Arabidopsis thaliana: one gene and its partners. The protein of the gene in region 2 interacts with the protein of the main gene of each other region in a pairwise test. Each region holds a gene or a part of one and is shown on either strand. Other genes may lie near its edges.

Region 1 (5,257 bases), 8.4 Mb from region 2:
ATGAGGAATTATGAAATGGATGCTGGACAAACAAACTATTTATAGATACAACAACGTAGGAAACTACATTACGCAAATGAAGTTTTGGTTCGGTTTCGGTTATGTTTCGGTTTACGTTTGGTACAAAATAGAAAAATTATATCAGAATTGAATTTACAAATAATATGATTTCGGTTTGACTAAGCCGCATGGAATCATTGTTATGAAAACTACCAAAAATGCAATAGAGTATTAGTGTAACGTAATGTTAAAATCGTGGTCTAATTAAGAAAACACCTAGTAGTTTCATCAACCACGTTACGAAACTACAATAATCTCCGGATAATATTATTTTAGAGGTCAGAAATGAATTAAACTATAGCTAAAAGACAGCTTAGTTTCATATAATTTTGATAGTATTAAACATTTTAATTCCGGTGTTGTCAATTTTAAGTTCCCAAAAAAATAGTTAAGAACAAAGGTGATAGTACTATTGTTGACAAAAGAAAACAAAGATTAGGTTTTGTTCTTATCGTTGGAATCAACGTCACAGACCAAAAGAGAAGTCTTTGTTGATAATTACGTTTTAACCAACGGTTAAGTTTTTCTTAATAGAAGAAACTGAGAAAACTCTATGACAACAATCAGTTTTCCAATTAGGGTCAGTTGTTTGTTTACATAGATAAGTGCCATTTTGTCGAACATAAACTGATAAACATAGAAACAAAATCCATAAAAAGAAAAAAACCTTTTCCACACACAAAGAAATCATAATATGACGAGCTATTTCCGAAAACTCCAATCTCAACAAACTACAAACAAATTTATAGACACAAACACATTTTAGACCCAACCTTGTTTGTATTTGCGGAAGAGATCCTCAGTCTGAGCATTCCTAAACGCGCTACAAGCAATAACATAAACCCATATGAGAACAACGACTGTGATGATAAGTATGAGATTTGCTTTACGCCATTCTTTTCTAAGGTTTCCCAATAAACCAGCTTTGCATGAGTTGCAATTGTAACAAAGCTGGCTTTGGTCATTGCTCCATAAGTAACAGTCTGCGTCTGCAGCCATATTGGTTGGATTTAGCCACAGTGTTGGGTTCACAAAGTTGTAGCCACATGCGGTTGGTGGTTTGCAGCAGCCGGACTGTAAAACAACAAATGTTCAAGAAATTGTCATAATTAGATTTGACCAAATATATGCTTAACCATGTTTTCAAATATGATAATCATAGTCTTAAAGATATTTACACTTTTTTTTTATTGGTAAAAAATATTTACACATTGTAAACACAAACGCTACCATTTGCGTCTGCCCTTTGTGTTTACAACAAAAATTTCATTTTGCTTAACATGGTTAATATTATGGGTTCATGTGGAGAAAAAAAAAGTATATACTAAAGGCAAACACAAACAATCAAGAGTTCAAGAGTCAAGACCTAAAACAATGAAACACTAGTTTTAGTCTGAAAGCTATAAAAATAAAACGACTACAAGAAACCTAAAAAATTGCTTGCTTGGTATGAAAGTACATAAAAAAAATGAAAAAACATGTTGAATCTTATCACAGAATAATCTTCTTTTACTTATGAGTAAATTTTGGTTCTGTCTCGAGGACGAGAAATTGTATAACTCTTTCTTAGAAATAAACTTATTTTTTCTTGAGTCCTAATTTATCCAATAAGAAAAATTATAATGTGAGTGGGGCAACATGGGAGGGATATAATTATCTATTATGTTTCATGATGGAGACAAAGACTTGTGATCGTAATTATTGAATCAAATCATTGGTCCAATATTTAATAATGTCTAATGACTAAAAGATTTAAAATTCAGTCGAGACCTCAGCATCTAGGCTTATTTAATTATTAGTGGTTCCAATCTTGTTACAGTGACAATGGACTAGGATGACAACTTGCTATAGAAGTTTTAGGAATAAAATTATTTAAATCACCCTTAATCTCTCCATGTTTAAAGCTTAAAAGACATAAAAGACATGACAATGAATTTTAAGAGTGATTTTAATTAATAAAATTAAATAGAAAAAGTAGGAAATTTTGTCAAGTTTGAGTTGTGATCACGAAAAACACTATCTAAAGTGAATGGGATCATTGAATTTTATGAGTGAGATAGTGACAAAGGAAAAATATAATTAATACACAGATAAAACATAGTTTATCATGTACCATATTGTGGGTGCATGGGTGGGTCCTTATGATAGTGTATAATTTTGAAATCTGACTATCTTACTATATAATCTTGTGGACTTGGTCTCCAGCAACTTCTACACCAGTCTACTAGGAATAAATATGTGTTCAATAATGGTGATTACATATGCCTAATCTATGAGTTTTACCACAAAATGGCACTAACTGCGAAACGTTAAGAAAGCTAATGTAGGTTTCTCTCCAACACTAGAAAACATAAGATTAATTAAGTCAGAAAATATTTTTTTAGTTTTTTCAAAGATGAGGAAATCCAAAACGAAATAACTTAAAGCTGCAAAACAAAAAAAAAGAATATAGAGAATAAGAACAATTCTCTTTTGGACATCTTCACAAAAGCTAAAGAGAAATTTTTTAACTTTTTGATTTAAAACCACATACTTTACTTTTTGAAAGAAAAAATAACCTATCTTTCTATGGCAAGAACAAACCGTAGGTCTCACATAATCTAGAGATTTTACAAAACATTCTCTTTACTTCGTATCTTATCTCCATTAATCATCTAATAATATCTAATTAAACCCACAATGATTCGTTGGCATAGTTGCATAACCGATATTTAGTCTAGATTTACCTCTAAACCAAACCTAAACCGGAAACTAGAAATTTCGGGGTTCTTTTTATAAAAGAGAATAAAAGAAGAAAGAACATGCCTGGAGAGGAGTGATCTTAGAGGAGGAGAAGAACTGATCGGCGGTGATGAATTCTTGGTTGAGTTTAGGACAAACATTAGTATCAGCCAAACAAGCCCTTAGCCTTCCCCAGTTCTTGGAATCCACAACGTTCTCCTTAAGCCAATTCGAGAACCCTTCAAGCCTATACTCTTTATAACCTCTACCCGGAACCCGATACGATCCATCGGGCCGGGTCACGACGAATGCAAATATAAGAACCACCAGCAAAAGTCCGATCAATATCGCCATACAGCACAAGTAAACCGCCAGTAGAGTTTCCTTGTACCTGAAATATGAGAGCTCAAAGTTTACATCTTTATGATTCAATTTGTGTCTATGTTTTCAAAGTCTTGAAGTTCTTTGATTCTTACTTGTAGGCGCCGATGAAGCCTGTGGCGGAGACGACGAGGATGAGAACGCCGAGGACGACAACGGGCCAACGGAGGAGATTGACACACTCGTTGTCTGGCTTTGAAGCTAGCCATATACCTGACGCCGTTATTGGTATGGAACAGAGTAACGCTAGTAAGTTGAGTATCGCCGTTAAGTTATTCGCTAACGCCATTAAATTTTCTCTCTCTCTCTCTCTTTGTTCTTGAAGATTCGTGCTTTTTATGGAAAGAAAATGAAATAATGAGAGTGAGAGGAGTGTCTCTGTTTTTGTCTTAATGACTTATGAGGTCGGTGGTTAGAGATGATGGGATGTGTGAAACCAGTTACTGCTATTTACAGAAAACGATGTTCGGTTTGGTCCGGTCCGGTTAATCACTGATTTTGCTGATTTGGATTTTTCGACAACGGTGGTTTTAAGAAAAAAGAATTAGATATTGGATTAAAGTTAACATGTGAATGTCAGAATAAAATATGTTTAGCAATGAAAAGTTAGGTTTTGAACAAGTTTTGGGTTGTGATGTAATAAAGAGAACTTGTTAATCTGGTCGGACCGGCTTTTGGTTTAGAATTTGGAATCTTGAACGGGACACGTGGATACGCGAGATGCCTTTTGTGTTAATATTCTTCCATTCTGCGAGTTACCGAATGCATCAACCAGTGAGAACTATCCACGTGGCACCGACGACTTTGGGTCATTTGCATTGAACGTATGTTACTTTCGACAGAGAATGCAAAATGGAGTAAGTTCCATTGTTCGGAAATCGGAATTTTCTTCTTTTCCAAGCATTAGAGGTTTCGGAGCAGGATTTGTCGTTGGCTGATGAGTGAAATGTCGGGTAATGGTCAAGAGATAAGCTTTTGTTTTGGTTCAGAGGATTGGGATTGCACACAAGCTGCTCGATAGAATGTGTGAACCAAAACATATGGATGAATTTTTCTCATCTCGATTTTATTGCGATTGGAGAAGAATTTTGAGTCAATACACACTTAGCTTTCAGTTTTAGATGCTGATATAGAAATGCTATTTGTTTGATTCTAGGAATTGGGAAGGAAATGAGTCAAATCAGAGAGAATATGGAAAGAGATGATGGCGGAGTTGTGGATTACGTTAAGAGTTGAATTACATCTTATAAATCATGAAATTGACTGTCAATCTTAGAGCTTAGATTACAAGCTCTTTGTCTAATCTCAAGTTCGACACAGAGCTTGATGAGACTGCTTCAGTTTGGCTTTGGAACTTTTCAAGTGGAAGTGAAGAAAGAAGAGTGAAGTAGTATAGCTGAATCAGCAAGATTCTGACATGGCTGGTTATTTAAATTATAAGGAAACACAAGAAGAAGACAAAGTTTTTATGATGTGAGTACAGAAGCGTCAAATTCCAGATGCATCCTAGGCTGAATCCGCATTTCCCATTTTCTTCATGGTCTCAAGTCTGGGGCCTTTGTCTCCAAACTTGGTAGTTGAATAAAGCTTTAGGTAGTCTTGAAAACGGTAGCCACTTGGATACAAGAGCTTTGGAGCTGGAGATATTATGGCATCACCAGCCGGATTGTAAAACGTAGCAATCGACAGTCTACTTCCATGCTTCACTGTCATTACACGGTGAACAACACTCTTGTACCTCCCATTACTCAGTATCTCTAGTTGATCACCGGTATTGACAAAAATGGTATTGTTCTTGGATGGCGGTATAGGAACCCACTTCCCATCTTTAAAGAACTCAAGACCAGGCACTTGATCATCCTGCAGGAGTAATATGATTCCCCCAGCATCCGTATGTTCTCTCAGCCCTCTCATAAGCTCAGGACGTGGGCATTCTGGGTATTTAGCCACTTTTGTTCCAAAAGCTGGACCTTTTGGACCAGAAAAGGCATTCATTATGTCTTCCTGATCAAGACCAAGATTCTCACACATGAGCTTGGAGAGTCTCTCTGCAAACTTGTGCAGTTGACAAACATATTCATCCATCGTCTTGCTG
Region 2 (4,732 bases):
TGCCTTTGTACATGACCGTGAAGCTGGACTCACCGTACCTGATTCCGACCTTGTTTGGGTTGACGGCGGTGAAGAGCATCCGGATGGTGAGGGAGAGGGAGGCGGTGGTTGGATCCAGAACAGCGCTTGGGTTGGAGATCCCCATGTACACCACTGCCACTTGCTGCAGATCGAACTGCGGCTTCTTCGGCTTCACCGCCAGTATTACGATGAGCACCACCGCCAGTACCAGCAGCGCCAGGAACGCGAACAGCAAGAACAAGCAGCAGCAGCATCCCTTCAGCGACGCCGACGACGACGATGAGTAGCTCCGGTAATACGGCTGCTGGTTCTGAGCAGCAATCGGATCGCCGTTGAGACCTGCTCTAGAACTAGAAGGAGGAGGAGGCATAGTAAGTGAAAGCAGGAAGCTCCCTCTCCCTTTTCACTCTTCTTCTGTAATAGCGGTGTTGAAATTATACACAACAAGAGAGAGAGACCCTGTTTCCGTGTCTGGACTCTAGTATTATTGACAAATTAATGTTTCACAATTTTAACCACCAATAAAAATATCAATAATGTAATTTACAGCAATTTTAGGCAAATCTCACACTCAGACAAGGGTTAGAGATGACTCAAAAAATGTTGGATCTGATATTAAAAAAACAAACAAATACAAACACACAGTTACTATCCTTTAGTTACATCATATATATGTATTACGTCGTTGCTTTGTGCTATATAGCTGACCTCTTGCTGATATTTATATTTTCGTCAACTCTTGATCAAACACAGATGCCACGTCGTTTCTATACTGACTCTCCTCACTCTCTTTTATCTTCTTCAACATCTTCTTCCCTGTCCGACTCCGCATTCTTCTCTTGCTTAACTAAGCTAATATCACCATCTTGCTTCCCCCCTGTCAGAGATTGAGCTTCCTCGTTTTCTTCATCCACGTCTCCCGAATATGCATATCTGTCCATCATTAGTTTCATATTAGCATCCCTATCACACCCAGGAACACCAAAATTGGACCACTACATAAGAACCACTAGCATGTAGCCAAGACTTCCCACAACATGCTCAGCTGAAACCGTTTCCACAAAACCATGCTTATTTGTTGGTATGCCCGAGAGGTATCAAAACCTTTTAAGTTGATGTAACATACCTTTGGGAGTTCTGCGAGGGGGTCCAGAGATAGCAAATAATACATAGCAACAAGAATGCGATAACATCCCAGAAGGCAGTTATAGTCCAAGCAGTCTGCCATCGTTCATTGAATGGATCTGTTGCTTTGAAATACACCTGCACGGGGACAAATCATCAGGCAAGCAAGCTGGGTATATTCCAAGAAAGAAGGAGCTTCTTTTTTCCTAGCTTGAAACAAAGCCAGTTTTAGTTGAGCAGTTTGTTTCCTAGAGGTAAGATTTGAGTTTACTAAATCAGCATCAAATCAGGCTTGACAGGATGGTACCTCATACACTATCCACGCAACAGAGGCAACAACCATCACAGCGAGTGCATTTGAGAACTTGCGGTAAATTTCCAGCTTCACCGAGGTCCTTTTCATCTGCAGTAATAAAGAATTTTATAGCTGGTCTGATGAATCTTGCCTCAAAACCCTTACAACTTACAGAGTCTGATGGCTATATTTAGAAAGAAAGAGATACCTGTAACTGTTCCAGTGTTTTCGAAAGAGAGGTAAATATCCACAATATGAGAAATGCATCGAGGAAGGCGTCAGGAAGGACAAGAAAAAGTTTTGATCTTCCGGACATATCGTCAATGATGCCAACGTGCTCAGCAATATCAAGGATCTCAGAAGCTATGAAGTAAGTAACTCCAACAAGGAGGACTTTAGAAGTGAGACCACCAAGAGTAGATTTGACAACCCCAAATCCCATGGAAACACAGAGAATGAGAATGCGGGAAACAGTCTTTCTCAAGGCACCAATGGTAACAACCCATGTAGTAAGGGCTAAAGGCCTCATCCCCGTGTGATTAAAATTAGCATAATCCAAGTACCAAAAGAGCATCTCAAGCAATCCTAGAAGAATGACGGCAGTAATGCAATGTTGAAGTGGCAATATATCCATCCGGAACCTCAAATACTGGAAGAACCAGACGGCACTGAGCAACAAATAAGCGAGAGACATATAGACATAGAAATTCACGAGTGGAGCCATCCTACCAGGAAGATAGCCGTCGGGATTTTTCCAAACAGTCTTTCCGGTCATTTTGAGGCCCTTAAGTTGTGGATCACAAGATATGAATAAGAGATTATAGATTCCAGTCTTGGTGATAAGAATCTCAGTGTCTGCCATCTTAGCAGACGAGCGTTTTCCTTTAAAGCGGACAGGTAAGAGGATAGGCCATTGAGGGTCATGTGGAGAAGGAATCCTAATGATCTCACCCTGCTTACAGCCTTGAAGCTTGGCCAGATCTGGAGTGCAGCAAATAGATCTTTGGCCTCCGTAAGCTGAACCACCGATATTGTTACGATCGGAGGCTTCAAAGATCACTGCTTGAACTAACCCATTGCTGCGGTGGCCCTTACCGGTAATTGTCCTCCAGAGAGTGATGTTCTCAAACCTGCAGTGAGGAGGGAGGATGAGTAGAGTAGAGTAGAGAGCATCAAAAGAGTTGAAAATGTAATCCATAGAATATACCTGATTAAAGATCGGGAAGAGGCGAAGATGCCCTCGCTGCCACCGTAGAGGAGGAGAGAATTACCGACATCGTGGAAGGGCTGGGAAGAGTAGATGTGGGCGGAGGCCCCAGCGATTCTAAAGTGTAATGATAGAAGAAATGGGCACAGCAGCGCAGACAGCTGGATCAGTTTTCCCAAATCCATTATCGGGGAACGAGGATCTCTGAGGCTAACTAACAGGAAGGAAGCGGGAGAAGAGCAGCTGCAGAGTCGCTCTTGTTCTAGCTGCTGCTGACTTTGGTGGACCAACCAACTTAATATAATGGTTTGGGCCTTAGAATGGTTTGGGCCTATACCGAGAGGCCCGGCTTACCCAGAAAGAAATGCAGCAATAGTCAATGCCACTGCCTGGAATTCGTCGATCGAGCGATAAGAAGAAGACTGGAATTTTTTTGAGGAGGACTCTGCTCCATCGCCGCCCGCCCTGTAACCCACCGGACTCAGTAAACTAGTCTGTAACACAATATCTTCTATTTCAGATAAGATTTAGCTTGGAGAAGAGCAAGTTCCGAAAATGGAGGGGCGTCGTGTATAGATCCACCACCCACAGGTTCGTAGATTCCATAACCTTGGATTGTGTTTTCTTTTTGCTTTCTCGGCGACAAATTCCTCCGATTTTAGTGAACATGTCTCTGATTTTGGTGTCCTGTGGTGGATCTGCCGGAGCAAGTCTTAAACTTGACTTGGACTGTTTTTACTAGCTAATTCTGGGCGCTATTTCGTCTTCCTTGTTTCCATTTCTATCTCTTTCTCTCTGGCCAGTCCTCATATGTTATCATTTCCTAGCTTTGCCACTACTCATTACTTTCCCTTTATCGTGTTTATATCTTAGCCCTGATGGAAGCAGACAACGGAGGCCCCAATTCTAGTCATGCATCCAAACAACGTCTGCGTTGGACGCATGAGCTACATGAACGCTTCGTTGATGCCGTTGCTCAACTTGGTGGCCCTGATAGTAAGTTTCCTTTTTTCTTGTATAGTCTATGGTAAATTTAGTAACTCATGTTTTCCTCATCAATATCTGTGGTAATAATATGCACACCAATATAATCAAATTGCTCTTCTTGTATGCTTTACTACTATCCATGAGAGGGAAAGCCTATCGTCTGTTTGCTTAGGGTTCCTAAACATTTTTCTTCCTTTGATTTCCAAAGGAGCTACACCCAAAGGCGTTCTTAGAGTGATGGGTGTACAAGGCTTAACTATATATCATGTCAAGAGTCACTTACAGGTATTCTCAAACTGTGTGGCATCTTGTCTCGTCTCTCTTTCTCTTACCCTTGCTGATTTTTGCATTTGTGTATTTTGAGTCAGAAATATCGACTTGCAAAGTATCTTCCAGATTCGTCTTCTGAAGGTAGTGTGGACATTGATTTTCTTCATCTTCTTTCTCATTCTACCAGTTTCCTATATACCTGAAAACTGGTTTTTTCAATTTTCAGGGAAAAAAACTGATAAGAAAGAATCTGGAGATATGCTCTCTGGGTTGGACGGCTCGTCGTACGTGAAATTTCCCTCTTTGAGCTTGATTTGTGATGCTATATATATATTACCTCGCGCCGCAGATTAAGTGATCAATATCGTTTCGAGATTACAGGGGAATGCAGATAACTGAAGCCCTCAAGTTGCAGATGGAAGTTCAGAAACGATTACACGAGCAACTAGAAGTATGCTTCACCATTCCTACTTAAGAAAGACAAGCAACAACGAAACAATTAGTAGGATTTTCAGTGTAGCACTGAATTTTGCATTACATATGACATTATTCTTTGATGTGATTTTTTCTTAGGTGCAAAGACAGCTGCAACTACGGATAGAAGCACAAGGAAAGTACTTGAAGAAGATAATTGAAGAGCAACAACGACTCAGTGGAGTACTCGGCGAACCCTCAGCCCCAGTAACGGGCGATTCAGATCCTGCAACCCCTGCCCCAACATCTGAGTCTCCTCTTCAAGACAAGTCTGGCAAGGACTGTGGACCAGACAAAAGTCTCTCAGTTGACGAGTCTCTCTCATCTTACCGGGAGCCTTTAACACCAGACTC
Region 3 (2,769 bases), on a different chromosome or scaffold from region 2:
TTCAGCTGGTATTTTGTTTAGTGATTATAGAATGGTAAATGTTTTTTTTTGTAGAGATCTCTTCGTCTATTAATAATGACTCAAAATCTAGTTGACCATTCATGATTCATCTATTACTTTTTTTGAATATTACTTTTCATATATATATATATATATATATATGTTGATAACCTCTCATTGTCGTGGTAAATTTTGGAAAGATGTCTCAGTTATTTATATTGATAATGACTCAAATGATGAGAAGTATCTATCTCCGTGTGTTGTGTGTATAGAGAAGTCGGCATTTTAATGAGTAAAAAACAAGAGAGCATATATGTTCATCGTTAAACCTCTCAATGTATGCAGTCTACGTGTTTAAAAAACAAAAATAAAAAGTTGTACGTTACTAAAAATGACCAAGTCATGAGTACAAGAAAAAAAGGTTTAAGTGTTCATTTAAAAGACTTTCATATTATAGATTAGGGACTTCAGTCTTTTCATATATATATCATAAGGTGAAATGAGCACAATCTATTCATATCACTATGATTAAATGAACCACACAACCGTAACAAGCATAAAGGTGAAGAGCGGCCATTTCGATATAAGCTTAGAGCCGCCGCCGTAAGTTGTGTAATCAAGCGGATATGCAATACGATGGATGGCTATGAAGGAATCCACGTAGATGTCAAGTTCGATGATGAGAACGCCGTCGATAGAAAAAGAAGTAGCAGAATTGTTGGTTACCAGAATGGAGGAGCCGTTGAGAAGAGTCGGTAGTCTCGATCTACTTGGCTTCAAGAGAAGATCTGCAAACTCAAGCCTCTGAGGAACAATGTGGTATGAAGCCAACTTATGTCTATCATCGCTCCCGTTGGCGGAAGAGTTTGGGATGAAGAGGGTAGATGGGATAACCTCGGCGCGGATCCGGTCATTGGTTTCTATGAAAACCGATGACCATTCTTCAAAAGGGGCATGAGCCAATGCATCAATAACATCACGGGCCGTCTCCTCCACCGTGCCAGAGACAACGGCGAAAACTGAAACGGTGGAGAGAAGAAAAAATAGTAGGAGATTCATATCCAAGAGACCAAAAGTGAGAGAAAAGTCCAAGAATGGAAGAAAGGAGTTTTCTTTTGTTCTTGGGAGTTAGGAAATTGTGATATGGCTAGTTGTATCAAGTTAGTATTATATAATTAAAAGCAAAGAGAATTATGTGTAGGAACAAAAGGTGAGTGAAAGTGTGAAGAAAGACTGCACACAAATTTTGAGACCTCTTTAGAAGCTTGAACCGCACAAAAAAAAAGGATTGAGTTCAAATATTTCCTATATACCATAATAGCTTAATATTATGATTTTGATTTGATTAGATAGAGAACAATGTAGCTCAAATGATAATTGGTTATAGAATACATTTGGAACATTTTTAGTTTTTCTTAAGTATCATTGTATCAATGATATCATTAACAATAAAAAATAATCTTAACCAAGAGTAAATATAACATGATTGATATATAAAACACAATTATATATCATACTAGTCAAAGCATCCCATTTTCTTGAAAAAAGCAGGTACCGATGCCTTATGACAAAATTTGTTTCACTCAACTGCACAAAATATTTATTAAATAGAAATAATAATATTAAGAATCACCAAACGATTTAGCATTGGTTTAAAAGAACCTTTACCCTTAACCTTTTAATTAGAGATAAACTTAACTAGAAGAAACTTTACTTTAATAAAGTAGACTGTGACTGAAAAATATAATGAAAGCCAATTATGGGTTTTAAAAGAAATTGTTTTGCTTTAAAACACCTAAAACATATTACATAATTAACTATAACGATTTTAAAAACAAATATTAACCGAACTAAAAAACAAAGCAAAGTCTATACGTAATTATTTAGGATAATGATTGTTTATCCTGAGACTGCCTTGATTGGTGTATAGATTAACATGTAAAAGCTAAGTACGTAAACAGAGGATAGCGTGTACTAGAATGCTCTCCAAACCAAATAACATAATTAGGACATAATTAAACAGAACTAAGGTCTTAAACACCTTCTTGAATTGTTTCGGATACTCCTTTTGTTTTTGGATATTTCGGGTACACATTCGGTTACCTTTTCGTTCGTTTCGTTTAAAGATTCTATAATCCATTTTTTTCACGCTAGACCCGAACCGTCTAGTTTGACCCTGTGACCTGTACACACTTCCAGTTTGGGTTAACATCCAACAGTTTAAAAACTAGAAAAAAAAACACAAAAAATTCACCATTAACATGCTATCCACTGAATCAGTCGGGTTTGAGTTTTAACAAAATCCATTTGATTTTGATATTTTGGAATTAAATATTAGGAATGGTGAGAGAAACAACGGTGATTAGTTATATTGTTTTCGCAATGTTTTATTAGTTTTTTTGTTGATAATCTCATACTATCTAAGTATTTTTTTTATGGTTTTTGTTGGATTTAAAAATTTTAATCACTTTATTTTTATTGTGAAACTTCATATTTTGTTAAACATGGTATGATTATTTTTTATTTTTATATTTATAATACTATATAATTTCTAAAAGTATTAAAAATATTAAATAAATTTTAATCAATTGATCTATGGTCGAATCCGGTTGAACCCAATGACACAGTAACCTAAAAAGTTATCTGGTTCACCATTCGGGTTGGGTTTGAAAAAATTGGTTAAGATATTTTATAATTTTGGTTGGGATTCAGTTCGTTTTTTTATTTGTTCGGTTTAGTATTTTGGTTTCGGTTATCTCAGTATTTCTT
Region 4 (4,395 bases), on a different chromosome or scaffold from region 2:
TAATAATATACTTCCCAAAGTTTGGTGTTTAGTTTCAATAATGTACATGTTAATCTATTATTATAAAACCATTTTGTATATATGAGTACTTAAGTGATTGTGTGGTGAGGTCTGCAGGACAAACTTCAGACAAAAGACTAACTGCACTTTGCTTAAAAACTCAGTCACACTTTTTGAAGTGCTTCTCAAGCTATATTTGCATAATTATATAAATAACTAATAAAAAGAAGAGTGCGGTTGAAATTTTAATATTAAAGCTATATATAGTTTTAGAAAAATATAAATCGAAACCAAATATATTGAAAAAGAATTCAAATATAACATGGTTCAATATTTTTTTGATTCGTATACAAGTTTGCCATGTTACTTTAACTGTGACCATAAAACCTCAAAATCATGATTTTTGTAGATTCAGTAATTATTTTACTAATTTACATTCGAATTAGAATGCGTCATACGACACCTTCCACTTTCTAGCAACGTATACTCTTGTCAATCATGTAGTCTTTTTATGCACATCATATCACGTAGAGTAAATATTAGAAGCAAATAATAAACAGATATTTCATGTAAATAGGTTTACCCCGAGTAGAGATTTTACACATTATAGAATAAAAATACAAAAGCAACAATAAAATAACAAGAGGAAATTAAGATTACCTAATCACATACCGATTAGGCGCAACACCTCTAGCTTGATCCAACGTAGTGAAACCTTCCCAAACCAATCCACTCTTGGGTCCACGTTGCTTGGTTCTCTTAGACTGCACCCATTCCCAAAACCAAACTACCAATCCCCAAATTATAAGAACCACGATCGCACCCACACCTGCGATCGTGTACGCTCTTGCGTTCGGCTTGATCACATCCCCTGCAACAGAGTAAGCCAAGACCATAGGAACGAACAGAGGGTAATACCAAAACATACTCTCTTGTCCTAAACTCAACAAACGTATCATCATCTCAATCGCAAAGCAGAACCCCGCACTGTTCCACAACCATAACCAGATAAAGTAGACCTCGTCCATAACCACTGAACCCGCTTTCGGACCGCTTGTTCCACTCTTTTGACCACCGCCATCAGACACGCCTCCGGGAGGTTGGAGAACCGTCTGATATGTAGCTGTGACGATGAGAGTTGCGACCACTAAAAGAGCGTTTCTTCTCTCTTCAGAGATCCAAGAATAAAACCGAATCTTCTTCGTCCGTCTCGATTCTCTCCAAGAAAGCTGCGACGCGAGTATATCCGATGTTGTCTTAATCTTGACAAGAGAAACCGAACGTTTTCCACCATGTCTCTTAACCATTCTCTCTATCTCTCTGTTATTGTGTAACACAGCAATGTCGAACACGGTTAAACCGTTCTTGTTCTCAATGTTGACGTTAATCTTGGAGCTCTCTAACAACAATTTCATAGCTTGACGATTGATCTCGTACGCCGCGAGATGTAAAGGCGTGTTACCGTCTTTGTCTCTTCGGTTTATGACTCTTGTCTCGATCCACTCTGCATCTTTTTGACACAATCTTAAGATCCATCCCATGAGAACTTTAAGAACGCTTAATCCTTCTCTTTGGTCGTAGTTATTCACGGCGATGTGAAGAGCGTTTTCTCCGTTCACATTTGCGTCCACAATGCTTTCGGGACAACCCAAGAAGAATTCTGACATCAGATCAATCTTCTTTCTACTTACCGCAACTAGCAATGGCGTCATACCTTTTTTGGACAAGAAAAATGAATTAAACACTCCTGGTATAACCAATCTAGTTCATGATCTGACCATACAATATCGACATAATGACTAGTCAAAAGCAACAATAGACTGAATTCAAACTAGTATTCAATGGACTGTTCGTCCTACTTCAATACTATCTCCAAGATTTGAATTTACTAGATACATATTATAACATTAGTTCGGATTGATTAGAGCTAAAGCTTTTGGAAAAAACTAAGAAACATAATTAAGGGTTCAACAAAATAAGTGAGTGTACGTACCATGTCTCCCTTTAATACGAACAAGACTTGGATCAACCTTAACTACTTCAAGTACTAACCAGAAGTGACCGTGTTCCACGGCGAGGTGTAACGGTGTAAGTCCGTCGGCGTTAAGTTTCCGAGCAAAAGATGGTTTCAAGTTCATCATTTCCATGGCAAACTCTGTTTTTCCATTGACGGCTGCCACATGGAGAGGAGTATTAACGAAGGGCACGTGGTCGGTTTTATCAAGAACGTATGGATCTTCATGGATTAGTTCGTATAGTAGATCGATGTTTCCAGATTTAGCAGCAGCTTCTAATGATCTTTGGTCCATTAGTGACTCAAGAGAACAGAACGACGATGCGAATTATATTTTTGGTGATTAAATATGATGATGAAACTTAATTGGCTACGAAATGATAACTCGTTTGTGAATGAAGGAAGTTCCCAAAAAAAGGAAAAGAGTGGGAAATTATAGGTGACGTGGCAGTATACGTGGACACGTCAGTATCTGATCATTTAATCCAACGGTTGATATTAGATAAATAAGAATTATTGTCTGAAAATTTGATGTGACATGGAGTACAACGTGGATCATATCGGCTCCAGCATCTATTTGATCTAATGGCTAAGATTGTACAAAATAACTCGCTGCTAAAGTGTTGAAATTCGGATGTGACGTGGCATTAAACGTGGATTAAAATCATCATAATCATTAATTTGACAATCTAACGGACAAGATTAGGAAAATAATTATTTATTACTAATCTAAGTTTATTTATTAAAAAAGCACCAAAAAGACTAGCCGTTATTAGAGAGCGTCCAAAGAGCGCCGCAACGGTCACATTTTTCCCCCAAATCTATCTTCTTATTCGATTTACAATACTCCATAGCAAGAACAAACCCTAATTCTTCACCTCCGATCAATTTTTTTTTTGTTGGAGAGATTCTCAAATCTAGATCGATTACTGTTCGTGTTACTCTCTTGATTCCAGATTCTGTTATCTTCGATGGAGTCGTTGACATTGAAGAATGGGAAAGCAGGGACTCCGGTGAAGGATCGGAGCAAGTTTCAGTCCAATCAAAAGATTTCCAGATCATCGGAGAATGCAAACCCTAACATTTCACAAGCGAGTCCTTCTAAATCACCGCTCATGAAATCTGCGAAGAAATCAGCGCAGAAGAATCCGAGTCCGAGCCCTAAACCTACCCAGGCGGTTTTCTCTCCCCGGAATCGGATCAGAGAGAGGAAGTTTGTTGTGGTGGCGAAGAAGAATTCGAGGAAAGGGAAGAAGGAGCCAGCGATTACAGAATCCAAGGCAGCTGAGATAGATTGTAAATGCGGAGAGAGGAAGAAGGGGAACATGAAGTGTGTTTGTGTTGCATATGAAACTCTGCGTGCTTCGCAAGAGGAGTTCTTCAAAAATCGAATTGAATCAGAGGAGGATAAGGAAGCTTTGGAGGAATGCTGTAATCTCGGAAATGGCGATGAACTAGAAGGAAAAGAATCTGGAGAACCGGAGAAAACAGGCGTTTCCACAATGAAGAGATCAAGAGCTAAGGTGGTGGAAGAAGCACGGCAAAGTGTGCCTGTATCTGGTAAAGTGATGAATCTTGTAGAAGCATTTGAGAAACTCACTTGCTTTAGTAATTCAAAGACTGCCAACAAGATAGAAGAGAATCAAACCGAAGAGGATACGAAGAAACCTGTGAAATTGGAATTCTTGGAGGGTGAGAAAGAGAAAAACCCATGGAGTTCTTCGTTTTGTCCATCTGAAATGGTCTTAACAGCTAAGAATCTGGGTTTAGACCCCAATGCTTCGATTTCTTCGTCCTGGGACAGCACCCGTGGCAGGTTAGTTTGTTGTTGACTAAGAGATCTCACTGAAATTATGAACTTGTCTTGTTCTGAATAGTTTGATATTGTGATGTTTCAGTGTTTTGAGTGGAAGTTCAAATGCTGGCAGGAGAAGTAGAAGAAATGTAAGTGTCCTGCATGCAGCATCTGAATTTTCTTAGCTGTTTAATGGTTGTCTGTCTTGCTTAGTATGTCAGTATAGTTTAATAATCATTTTGATATTTCTGTTTATGGCAGAGCATGGAGTCATCGACTACAATGGGAAGTAGAAGATCAAAGAAGAAGCAGGTTAAGGTCACTTCATTGAAGCCGTTTAAGCTTAGAACTGAGGTATGAGTTTCTTTAGATTAAAACTAAAGAAAAATTTCGAATTTTATGGTGGAAATTGAGTCATGACAGTTGGTTGGTCTTTTGTCTCTCTGCAGCAAAGAGGTAAAGTGAAAGAGGAAGAGTTAGCAAAAAAGATACACGAAATAACAATGGAGGAAGAAAAGATGAGAATCCCCATTGCTCAAGGTCTTCCATGGACAACCGATGAACCTGAGGTAAGCATGTTCTGCTT

Evidence for each region.
Region 1: the proteins of AT2G01070 (region 2) and TET2 interact in a protein complementation assay, tested with the Arabidopsis thaliana proteins (one large-scale study listed by BioGRID).
Region 3: the proteins of AT2G01070 (region 2) and AT4G12950 interact in a protein complementation assay, tested with the Arabidopsis thaliana proteins (one large-scale study listed by BioGRID).
Region 4: the proteins of AT2G01070 (region 2) and AT5G15500 interact in a protein complementation assay, tested with the Arabidopsis thaliana proteins (one large-scale study listed by BioGRID).

The regions. Positions count from the first base shown.
Region 1 is NC_003071.7:8,471,571-8,476,827, forward strand, and holds TET2 (tetraspanin2), read right to left. Parts: upstream 3,584-5,257; 5' UTR 3,452-3,583; coding exon 3,258-3,451; intron 3,173-3,257; coding exon 2,866-3,172; exon of another isoform or gene 2,035-2,865; intron 1,135-2,034; coding exon 823-1,134; 3' UTR 564-822; downstream 1-563. Other genes in the region: ACO1 (ACC oxidase 1), read right to left, coding at 4,669-5,254. UniProt on the Arabidopsis thaliana protein: May be involved in the regulation of cell differentiation.
Region 2 is NC_003071.7:73,697-78,428, reverse strand, and holds AT2G01070 (Lung seven transmembrane receptor family protein), read right to left. Parts: upstream 2,910-4,732; 5' UTR 2,834-2,909; coding exon 2,649-2,833; intron 2,572-2,648; coding exon 1,650-2,571; intron 1,550-1,649; coding exon 1,454-1,549; intron 1,285-1,453; coding exon 1,148-1,284; coding exon of another isoform or gene 1,129-1,147; exon of another isoform or gene 1,029-1,128; intron 955-1,028; coding exon 804-954; 3' UTR 564-803; downstream 1-563. Other genes in the region: AT2G01080 (Late embryogenesis abundant (LEA) hydroxyproline-rich glycoprotein family), read right to left, coding at 1-391; AT2G01060 (myb-like HTH transcriptional regulator family protein), read left to right, coding at 3,527-3,644, 3,844-3,920, 4,004-4,046, 4,132-4,189, 4,287-4,356, 4,479-4,732.
Region 3 is NC_003075.7:7,574,932-7,577,700, reverse strand, and holds AT4G12950 (Fasciclin-like arabinogalactan family protein), read right to left. Parts: upstream 1,060-2,769; coding exon 529-1,059; downstream 1-528.
Region 4 is NC_003076.8:5,031,135-5,035,529, forward strand, and holds AT5G15500 (Ankyrin repeat family protein), read right to left. Parts: upstream 2,407-4,395; 5' UTR 2,310-2,406; coding exon 1,994-2,309; exon of another isoform or gene 1,715-1,993; coding exon 657-1,714; 3' UTR 514-656; downstream 1-513. Other genes in the region: AT5G15510 (TPX2 (targeting protein for Xklp2) protein family), read left to right, coding at 2,986-3,830, 3,913-3,958, 4,071-4,163, 4,259-4,378.